Linked DNA regions of Styela clava. The protein of the gene in region 1 purifies or fractionates together with the protein of each later gene. This does not show direct contact. Links are inferred from orthologs where the notes say so. Each region holds a gene or a part of one and is shown in the gene's direction. Other genes may lie near its edges. The genes, in order: KRR1 small subunit processome component homolog, protein KRI1 homolog and nucleolar complex protein 4 homolog.

Evidence for each region.
Region 2: the proteins of KRR1 small subunit processome component homolog (region 1) and protein KRI1 homolog purify together in Homo sapiens (affinity purification with mass spectrometry; 3 studies listed by BioGRID and IntAct, with this or other methods). This does not show direct contact. The link is inferred for Styela clava from reciprocal best matches to the Homo sapiens genes KRR1 and KRI1.
Region 3: the proteins of KRR1 small subunit processome component homolog (region 1) and nucleolar complex protein 4 homolog purify together in Homo sapiens (co-immunoprecipitation; 3 studies listed by BioGRID and IntAct, with this or other methods). This does not show direct contact. The link is inferred for Styela clava from reciprocal best matches to the Homo sapiens genes KRR1 and NOC4L.

Annotation. Positions count from the first base shown.
Region 1 is NC_135255.1:9,057,998-9,061,757, forward strand, and holds the start of KRR1 small subunit processome component homolog, read left to right. Parts: upstream 1-859; 5' UTR 860-860; coding exon 861-1,883; 3' UTR 1,884-3,760. UniProt on the Homo sapiens protein: Part of the small subunit (SSU) processome, first precursor of the small eukaryotic ribosomal subunit.
Region 2 is NC_135251.1:17,670,537-17,674,296, forward strand, and holds the start of protein KRI1 homolog, read left to right. Parts: upstream 1-1,529; 5' UTR 1,530-1,738; coding exon 1,739-1,814; intron 1,815-3,362; coding exon 3,363-3,547; intron 3,548-3,760. Other genes in the region: uncharacterized protein LOC120336391, read right to left, coding at 57-164, 261-368, 743-803.
Region 3 is NC_135250.1:11,176,179-11,179,938, reverse strand, and holds nucleolar complex protein 4 homolog, read left to right. Parts: upstream 1-1,103; 5' UTR 1,104-1,417; coding exon 1,418-2,974; 3' UTR 2,975-3,113; coding exon of another isoform or gene 3,114-3,278; 3' UTR 3,279-3,445; downstream 3,446-3,760. Other genes in the region: NADH dehydrogenase [ubiquinone] 1 alpha subcomplex subunit 5-like, read right to left, coding at 3,114-3,278.

The DNA of each region.
Region 1 (3,760 bases):
TGCCTTTTTCGACTCCAAATTTTTTGAATATCACTTTACCTGGTTATATGAAGAATAAAATATTGTTTGTGATTCAACCTACAGAATGTTTCTATATATGAACATGTTAACCTAGAATACATGTGTAACAAAAAATATTTCAAAGTCTTGATTCAGCATTTCATTTTATGAATATCAGATATTTGTGAATGTGTGTTTTAAACCCAATTTAAGTAAGAGAAACAAGTATCGGTTAGTATTCTGCTTTCGAATATGGTTCTTATGACTTTTCTAGTATTGTTAGTATAGGATATTTGTATCATAATACTTTGAGTCATTGTATAGACCGAGATGCAATTCATAATGACTCAATCGTTTGATCCCTCAATTTCTGATATTTCGCATATAATATCTGCATTGACTTTTTATTGACATGAATTTTGTGCGTATTTGTGCTTGATCTTTGCAGTTCCAACTATTTCCCAATGTTATGACTCTTTCTGTTTGTTCCAATTGTCTTTTTGCACCATCACGAACTTCAGTTTTTGTTTGTTCGATCAGAAATACAATATTAAAGAAATTGTCCAATGTCTGCATTTGAAATGTTTTTTCTCGAATAGTAGTTTAAAAAAATGGTATCATGATTTTGTGAACTGAACTTTGCATTTTTTTTAAATGTTCGAACAACATTGCCGTCTGCAGCTGCTGGTCTTTCTGCGATGCAATGAAAAATTCTGAATATTCTTGATGGTGTTTTGTTTCATGAGTACGCAAGATATTGTTATATTGTAGTCGATTGTAACGAAGATTTTTATTCCTGTTTTAAAATAAATGAGGTACATATTAATTAAGATAAAATTTTGGGAAATACTCTGACAAATATGGATAAAAATATAAATCAAGAAGATCTTCTGACTGTTCCTGATGGATGGAAAGAACCAGAATTCAAAAAAGAGGACAATCCTTACGGAATGGCCGATGAAAGTACATTTGCAACACTTTTTCCGAAATACAGAGAAAAATACTTGCAAGAAATATGGCCTTTGGTTAAAAATCATTTGAAGGGATATAACATAGAAGCTGAACTGGACCTGATTGAAGGTTCTATGACAGTGAAAACGACAAGAAAAACTTGGGACCCTTTTTCAATTATAAATGCTCGGGATATGATTAAATTATTAGCAAGGAGCATTCCTTTTGAACAAGCGTGCCGGATTTTCGAAGATGACGTTGCATGTGATATCATCAAAGTTGGGTCGTTAGTGCGAAATCGTGAGCGATTTGTTAAACGCAGACAAAGACTTTTAGGACCTAATAATTGTACATTGAAAGCTTTAGAACTTCTAACTAAATGCTACATATTGGTACAAGGAAATACAGTAACTGCCCTTGGGCCACACAGAGGCCTTAAAGAAGTTCGCAAAGTTTCAATTGACACAATGAAAAATATACACCCGGTATATAACATTAAATCTCTCATGATAAAACGAGAACTTTCCAAAGATGATAAACTGAGAAATGAATCCTGGGAACGCTTCTTACCCAAGTTTAAAAGTAAAAATGTGAAAAGAAAAAAGAAACCCAGAAGAGAGAAACCATACACACCTTTCCCTCCTCCACAACAAGAAAGCAAAATGGACAAAGAAATTGCTTCTGGGGAATATTTTCTTAAAGAAAAAGAGAGAAGACATAAAAAATTAGAAGAAAGAAAAGCAAAAGAAATAGATTCTGCAATTAAACAAAAGCAAAAAAGAGAAAAGGCTTTTATTCCTCCGAAAGAGCCCACTCCATCTAAAAGTGCACTCAATCAAACAAAAATTGCTATTAAACGTAACAGTAACGATGTTGATATTGATTCCTTGAAAAAGAAAATAAAAAAAGCTAAAGTAACTAAAAAAGCATAATCAAAGAAGATTTTAGAATAAAACTTTAAATTCCATTCTGAATTTCTGAATAAAACGAATTTATCGAAAGAAGAGAATATCAGTTTTTTCATTTGCTCCCAAAAACATGGTTTTTTACTTCTGTCCCTTGCTTGATAATTGCTAGGAGCTAGGCTTTTAGTCTTAGCAGCTAGACGTGAGCTTAGGCTTATATCTTTATGCTTTATATTTGTTTTATTATGGGGATGTTCTGGATAAACAATGTATTCATGATCAAATTCATCTGCCACATAAAAGGTTTCTTTTTAAATGCAGCTCTCGTTAATTTTAATGGGCTTTACATACCGTACCTACAGGCTAAAGTACAATAAGAATTTATCATTATAGAATGTTATCACGAATTGTTTATTTTTATAATATTTCAGACAATATTAAAAACCTAAAGTATTGTTTTTCTAATGCGCATGCTCCCAAAAGTATGTTCATTAATGGTTTAATAATAACAAAAGAAAATTTGTGAATTCTTTTCATCAAAGCAAGAATTAGGAACAGGCATATATTTTGTTTGATCCATTTTTTTATGCTTTTTACGTCAATAGGAGAAATGACATTTCTCGGATTGTTTACTATTCTTATAGTAATGAAATGTTATGACATGGGCAGCTATTTCATAATAATGCACTGAATAGTTTATTACTGAGGAATTCCTAATATTTGAACCAGTAATTTTATAGCTCGATTGTACCTTTCATTATAGTCTGTAACTATTTTAATTCGGGTTGACACAATAGCATAGTACAGTAGTTGTATTGACATTTTGATCTAATACCGTGCAACGTTCACTCTCTCGTTTATATTTTAGGGTCAACGCACCTAAAAGTTTGGTAATTTTAACATACTGACTGTTTCCTGTATGAGTTTATCGATGCGTGAAAATGTCGCACACCTGTTACTATACTTAGCATTGTCGTAATTTGAGATATTAATTTGGATTTTGAAGTCATGAATCACTGTTTCAATTTGTACAAACTAGCAATTATGATATTAGACACAAATTTCTTGTAATCTACTATAATGGTGCTTGCTGTGTTACAGTCAGACAAATTTAAAATTTAGGTTTTAAATTCTATAAAGTGGATTGATTTGTTTTTGTTTATGTGGTTGAAAAAACTATACCTTATTATGGTATTTTAAGGTCATTGGAAATATCATGAATTGTGACTTAACAATTCTCATTTCCTATTATATATGTTTCAAAATTTGTCTGGTGAAGGGACGGCATGAAAACGAATATTCCACTATTCTGAATACATTCTGGAGAAATAGTTTTGAATATGGAGTATCGAATACATTTTAAATTGGGGGCAAGTTCATGTGGAAAGTTACATGAATCACTAATCTTCATGTTGATCCCATCTCATACGAAGTTTTCTCTTATTTTCTAATTTTCGAATAAAAATGTTATTCCTAAAATCCAATTTTTTTTATATCAATCATAATGAAATTTGAATGTATTGGAATATTTAATTCATTTTGGACATCCAAGTAAGTGAAACTCCACAATAAAATTGAATCTTGTCTTAAATGGTAATTTTGCATTTTGTAATCGTCAATCTTTCAAGTCAACACGTCCTTTTGCATTTCCTTTAACATGAGCCAAACGCATGCCATCCCAGTTTATCATAATATACATTCGGTCACGTCATTATGCATGAAATGACACAAATGAAAGCTGCCCAGCTGTGTCTATAAAATATTTAATGCAATGCCTCTGCTTCTGAAAATATTAAAAGAAAATTTTACGCCAAAGCTAATAACACATGCATTTGCTCTACAATTTCTTAAAATGTCAAGTTTTAGTGCATTTTTATTGGCATTTGAAAAATTGTATTTAATCT
Region 2 (3,760 bases), on another chromosome or scaffold:
TATAAACAAATAATAAAATACGAAAAATATGAATAAAAAATAACTACACAACATACCTCTACACATGTTAACATCTAACCAATTGTATTTTTCTTCTATGGCTTCGATTCCCATTTCTTTCGCTTTTTGTATTTTGTCGCATATGATCGAACCTGACGGCTGGGCTAAAAAACAAAACTATGATAATCCTAAACAAGATTGAAAAATAGAAAATTTTTGGTTCCATGACGAAGCAAAATAAAAGTAGGCTACTAACTTACCTGATATTGTTATTGATAAAGCTGCACAGGCAATAACTAAAAGTAATATTGACCCTCCTATGATGACCAATTTCGCTTTAGATGGCGGATTCTTTGCCACTTTTTTGTCTGTCGTAATAAAACACGGAAAATTAACTTTTATGAACTTATTTACTGAAAAATTCATTTGGAATTCAGTTGAAGCACTTTATGTCTAAGTTGAGATTGACTATGTTTGATACTCTCATTGAATAAGTCAGTGGTCATTGTCACTCTTCAGTAAAAACCCGAAAATGTATTGACAGTATCGTAGTTGACGCAGTTGTTGCTATTTAGTTATTAAATGCGTATTATTTTTGTTCTTGTTGGGAGTCGGGGAATATAGCTTATATTTTCTTAATATTTTTACCTAGCACTTAAATCACCATGGTCATATAATCTATCTAGCCTATAACGTTAGTAAATTGTCAACATGCGTTAAAAATGTATAATAATTATCTTGCCATTTTTAGCTTTATCGGCTTGCTTGGCTGATTTTTCGCCAGGATTCTTCTTTGGTGCCATGTTACATTTTTAGAGTAGCTTGAATCATTTCACATTTTTAATGGAGTTCGCATTCTAACACAGGATATTGTATAATTATGTATATATAGGTATAGATCTAAAACAGAATAAAGGTTAACAGTTTGATCAATGACTGACAAACAAAACAGACCAGGATGATCACGAATTCAAAATATCTCGTCACAATTGTTAATTTATGCCAGGTTTCAATATTGGTGGATATAGTTCAACCTAGTAAAATGCTCAAATTAAATAATATACAATTTTTAAAATGCAGATGAACAAATTCAAATTCGGAACAATATATAAAATGATACATTCGTATGTTTAAACTGATTGCCAAAAATGCAATATGTAACACTGATAAATATGATTGTTTAATACTGGCATCGACGAGCCGAACAACTAAGAACATCGTCGATTTTGATGTAATAATGGGTTTAAGTGAGGTAGAGGTTTGTATTAGATTTTTCACGCACAAGAGTTTACCGTAATTTCAGGATGCTGCAAGACCTACAGATACAATATAAATCAAGCATATCTATGAATATTAGTCGATTTTATTTAATTACCCATACGTCATAATTTCTGCATAGATACACAGTAAATCCAGCCCATACATTCACTATTTTTAACACCGGCGTTCATAACTAAAATAGTTATCTACATGCACGATTTTTAAATTCTTATTTTATTCTGATTCTAATTTAATATTTTTAGAGAAAGAAAGCGCACACGCGCACACAGGAGTAAAGGATATTCAACTCTGAACAATCTTATTATGGACTCCAGTTGTTCATCACCGAGGGAGTTCCCCTCCGTGTTGATCTACACGCCGTGTTCTGTTGTTTCTTTGCTTCGTCTTGTCTCCGTCGTTATTACTGTATTAATGCTGTAGGTTACCCCCGGTGTTGTTTTCTTTTTATCCTGTTATCATGGAAGATTTCAAGATTAACGAAGACTTTGCTAAGAAGTATAACAAATACCGACAAAAAGAAGAATTGCAAAAACGTGAGTCTAAAATCACTTTTTATCTGAGATCCATCATCAACATTTAAGGATCCATTTCTATCTTTGAAACCTTTTTATACTAGCCACAGTCAGTAATTACCTAGGTAGTATGATACCGTTACCAGTATGATAACGTGATTAGTACATATTAAATAATTCTTGGTAACAATGCCAGCAATGCCCATCTTTTTAATTGTTGAAAATGAACGGAGGCGCAGTTCTTACCACTTCATGGCAGCTCCTGCCACGAACGTACCACGCCGTCTCCTGCCATGGTTTTATGGCGCTATTACGGGTATATTTACAAATTCATGTACCATATTTTAGTTTATCATGCGAAATTATATCTACTTAAACCCTAACCCTAACCCCAAATCCATCCAAACTGTATCCATAAGAAAAACATTCCAACTCACCAAATATTTATCACCATCAGCAGATTAGGGGCAGCCCTGCTATTACAGCCGACCTGCCGTGGTTACGGCATTAAAATTGGTGGTATTCGATTTGCTGCCGTAACCACGGCAGCTCGCTATTGGTTTGTGGCAGCTAAAAAGTCAGTCGCCGTGGGTTTGGTCTTAGTGGCCGTGGTTTGGAAATCCCGCCATGGTTTTGCGGCAGCTGTAGACGCCACAAAATACTTGAAACTGCACTTGAACGATTGCTAAACTGCCAGACATTTTTCCGTTCAGACTTTTTCAATCATGATGGCATATGACGGTTTGAGTTATAACTTTGGCTTTCTGTTGCCTAGGGAGTTGTTTGAAAATAATAATATGCTATATAAATAGATAGACTACACAAATATTTATAGATTTATTTACAGATATTTATTCCTATCAGCGACATATAACCTGCGTCTCTGCATTGTTACAAACCTAACCCTGTAACTCTCTAACCGCAGAACTGTAACACTGCCAAAACATCCGATAAATCAACATGTATTTATATATTATTATTTTTAAACAACTCTGAAGGTGTACTTGAAACAAAATCATAACTCAAATCGTCTTTTCGTCAGCAAAATCTGTTAGGCAAATGTCTGTGGTACAAAAAGTCTTTATACCAAAAGAAACAAATATTCTGTATATTTGTTCCATTATAATGGAGTATGATAATTCTTATATTGCTGTATCATACTGTACTGTCATCTGTTAATATGTTTCAATTTGAACCTAACTGCGCTAACTTGGTTTTTTATTTATTGCTGTGTAGGTATGTTTAAATTCATTATATGAAAAGAATGAAGGACAATGGCATTCGTCTCTCTATGCCCAACCGCGGGAATGTTTAAATTAGTTTTTCATCATTGGTCATATAATTTTTCTTGGTTAATTTTGCGGATTTAATTTACAAAAACAACATGATGTTGTCATTGTGAGAATTGTGGGGTTAGCATTGCTAGTTTAAATATCATAGGGGCCAAAACAAAGTCGATGCCAAACGGGGCAAATGACCACCACCACCAGAGTCGAAATAGTGATAAACAACTAAAAGAGCAAGTAGTACAGTAGTACAAATATATAAAATCCAATTTTATTTTTTCAGTGAAAAGTCGTTACGGCGATGTATCTTCTGACAGCGAAAGTTCAGAATCTGAGGATGAAAATGCTGAAGCATTAACACCAGGGTTGGAAAGAGATTTTCTCAGAACACTTGCATATCTTAAAAATAAAGATCCAGCAATATATGACAAATCTAAAAAATTTTATGAAGAGCATGAAAGCGATGAAGTAAGTTTAAGGCATATTGTATTTGATTTAAATAACTTTAGTTGATAGCTGTACGTGTAGTAACTGAAAGTTATTTTTACTTTGACTCAAGTCATAAAAATTAGAGCTAAACTAAAGTGCTGAAACACACCAATTGGACCACTTATCATTCCGAGTACCCTGACATTACAGCATCACAAGTTCGATAAGAAAAATAGGAAGATAGGAAAGAAT
Region 3 (3,760 bases), on another chromosome or scaffold:
TTCTACCAGGAAAGCTAACCAAGGGTGATGGTTACTTTAAAAACCTGCAATTATTGCATTTTTTTGAATTCCTAGCATGGAGGTTCACGAGATTAATGACCGGCTACGGCTTTCATCTGGCATTATGAATTTACCGACTAGTCTCATCGACTCCCCTCGGAGATATATATATATGAAAATCCTATTCTTTATAATTTATATATTTGACGTCTTCTCAATTGTTCCTAGTAGAATCACCGTGTCGTCTTGATTTGTGCATCAGGTAAACACCAACGCGATTGTTTATCAATCAGATATAGGGAAATGTGTGTATGTGTCGTTATTTTGTTTTTGCTGTTATTTTATTTTAGTTGCGACCAAAATACAATTGATCGATTGGTTGATTTTATAATCTGGTGATCCCGCAAATGCTTGAAGTATTCAAACCGCAGTGGTTTTCCCTCTTCCTAGGATGAATACAAAAAAAGTTGACTACAACCATCCTTCAAAGTCCACACATATGTATTTTGACTCCTAATCAGCATACCAGACGATAAAGTGGGGAAAAAAAACGAATAAAAACTGTATGTAGAATCAGAAGAGCAGATAAAATATTAATCAAGGTTGAAAGCGCACAGAATATAAAACAGGTTTGCCAAAAAGAAGTGGTACCTGTTCACACACCTAAAAGGTTAGGATTTATATATTTATCTCGATGGGAGATAAAGCCGATAAAATAGCTTAAATATGGCGAACCACGGATTCTCGTCCGGTTACCATTTTTTGGAAAATAATAAAATATACCTGTCAGACCCATTGACTAATATACCAGATCATATTGGTAATTTTATAGCGATTGCCAAATCGTTATGGTTGTAGTTAAATGCCAAATTGATAGTGGGATCCATTTCGATCCGAAACAAAAAATCTTTGACTCCTAAAACTTCACTTTGTTGCACAACTGCACATGCTGCTTTGGATTTAAAACAATCTTTATGCCGACCGTGTTGTAGTCGCTTTGATGCCGACCAACCGCCACCGGTAGTTCAGCCCTTCTCTTCTTACCGTATCGGGCATTTTTACGTTATGTTGTTTTTACGTTATGGAATGACCATGTTTTCTACCAAAATGTGACAATTCGGTTAATATGGTTGAATAGTTTCACTTCATGGTGTTTCTGTATTACTGTATTAAGGATTTTTATATCCGAGTTATGAGTATAAGTTTATTTCGACTCCATAATCAGCAATAGACGATAAAATAATTGATAAAAACAAAATAAATAAACTAATTATAGAATCGGGAAAGCAAACGAAACCAAAAAAGTGTAGTACTAGAATATAGGCATCACGTGCCTGATCAGTATGTTTTCATGTGTAGATTATGATCAATAGCATACTTACTTTTCAGTTTAAATGATTTGTACCTGATATTTATCATGGCCATGTCATTAAAATCAATCAATAATTTGGTTGAAGAGTTATTACAAAGCAGACAAAATTGTAACAAGATTGTGGATTTAATCCCGCTAATCAATTTTGAAGAAAATGAAGAAGTGTTGAATGTTATTTTGGATGGCGTGGGCACATACTTTTGCAATGCTATATGTAACAATGAGTTAACCAAACAAAAAGGAGTATCTAAAGAAATGTCGGAATATCAAGAATGGATCAATATTCGTTATAATGAATGCCTTGCAAAAATAGTGCTCCTGCTGGACCACGATTCTGATATTTTAAAGGAAAAATGCATAGTAACTGTTTTAAGATTTATGGAAAGTAAAATTGGGGTCGCATTGCAAAAAGACAATGTTAGCTTTCCAGAAACAGAGTTAGAATCGCTGATCTGTGCATTCATAATAAATGATACATCCAATCATATGCAAGATGTTTGCACGAATATTTGGAAACTCGATGATGTTAGATATTTTGCCCTCAAATGTATTACTAAATGTTCAGCAGAATGTCTTTCAAAAATAGAATTGAAGTCTATGATGCTGCAAAATATATTCACTTTACTGAATTCAATATCTGAAAGCATGCCGGCTGTCATGGATGAAACTAACTTACATACTTTGGCTAATAATGGTGTAGAAAGAATTTTTCCAGCGGTCAACAAAGATCCAGTCGTCACTGAAAAGTATCAGGACTCGTCAATTCCATTTCCTAAGGCGTTAGATTTAAAAGAGCAAAGGAAAATCTTTGGAAATGCCTGGCTTGAGTTTTTGAATTATGATTTGGATAGTCATCTTTTCAAAAGTGTTCTTGTAATACTTCAGAAATGTGTTATACCAAATTTTGCAAGCCCTTGTATCCTGGCTGATTTCCTTACACGTTCTTTCAACAAAGGAGGTGGTATAGCTCTCTTGTCTTTACACAGCCTGTTTATTCTAATGAATGAACATAATCTGGAATATCCAGATTTTTACACTCATTTATACAGCATGGTTCACCCAAGGGTATTTGATGCTAAATATCAGCCAAGATTTTTTTTTCTTTTGGATGTTTTCCTGTCATCAACACATTTGCCTGCATATTTGGTTGCAGCATTTGCTAAAAGACTTTCACGATTGACGTTAGTTGCACCAACCTGCGCGCAAGAATTATTGGTAAATTTTATTCAGACTTTAATTGACAGACACCCTTCTATAAAAATTCTCATAAACCAAAATACCAAAGCCTTACAAAAGAAAGCTTTAGCTGGCGATCCATACTTGGAAGCAGAAGTTGATCCTGCAAAATGCAAAGCGATGGAAAGCTTTTTATGGGAATTGACAGCTCTTTCGAAACATTGTTCATCTTCGGTAAGCGCTGCGATAAAAAACATTGACAAGGGACCAAAGCAGGACATTACAGACTTGCTTGAAAATACTTATGAAGAAATGTTTGATACACTTTGCGAGAAGGAAATTGTAGACGCTCCTATGAATTACAGAGCGCCAAAAACATTGTTTGGTGGATTTGATGATGCTGTAATGGAACTATGGTCAGTTTAGAAAATAGGACTATGCAATATCTTCTTAAACCTAATTCCCATATCCCTTGTGCATGAAATAAATATTCTCACAGCTCATTAGGTGGATGTTGTAATCAGAAGAACACAATAAAAATAAATTATAATATATTCAAAAATATTCATGGCCAGTCCCATTGTCCAGGTGGTGCTTCTCCAACCAATGTCTCCCATGGTCGACATTCTGCCATTTCCCTGGCAAGATGATGTTCATTCTTGGCCTGAATTATGAGTTCTTCAATTTGTCCATTTCCAATATGCTCTTCTACCAGTGCCATATCTGTGTACTGTAAAATGATAGAGAGAAAATGGCATGTAGACATCATGGATAAATGAGAGTCTGTTGATATTGTGATAAGGAATTTAACTGATAGTCCTGCCCAAGTGTGCATGATCTTCGTCTTTTTAATTTCCAACAAAATGATTAGACGAAATTAAATATAAATCAAGAGTCTTTCACTGTGTCAATGAGAGCTATAAGAGCAGGGATAGGCAAGGTTTTCTGGACCAGGGCGAAAAATTTTGCACAGGCCATGTAAGTGTGAAAAGTTACATTTTATGAACAATATTTACAGTGTTAGAAAAGCAAAAGTGGAAAACAATAGGCCACATGTCAAAACTAAATTTATTCGCAATCTCAACAAACTTGAGCTATTTTTAGTATACTTCAAAATTTGGTTTTAGTTTGGTTGTGGCAGCATCAGACGGGCCAGATAAAATTACACAACTGGCCGGATTTGCCCATTTTCTGGTAAGCTGTTTTGATAAC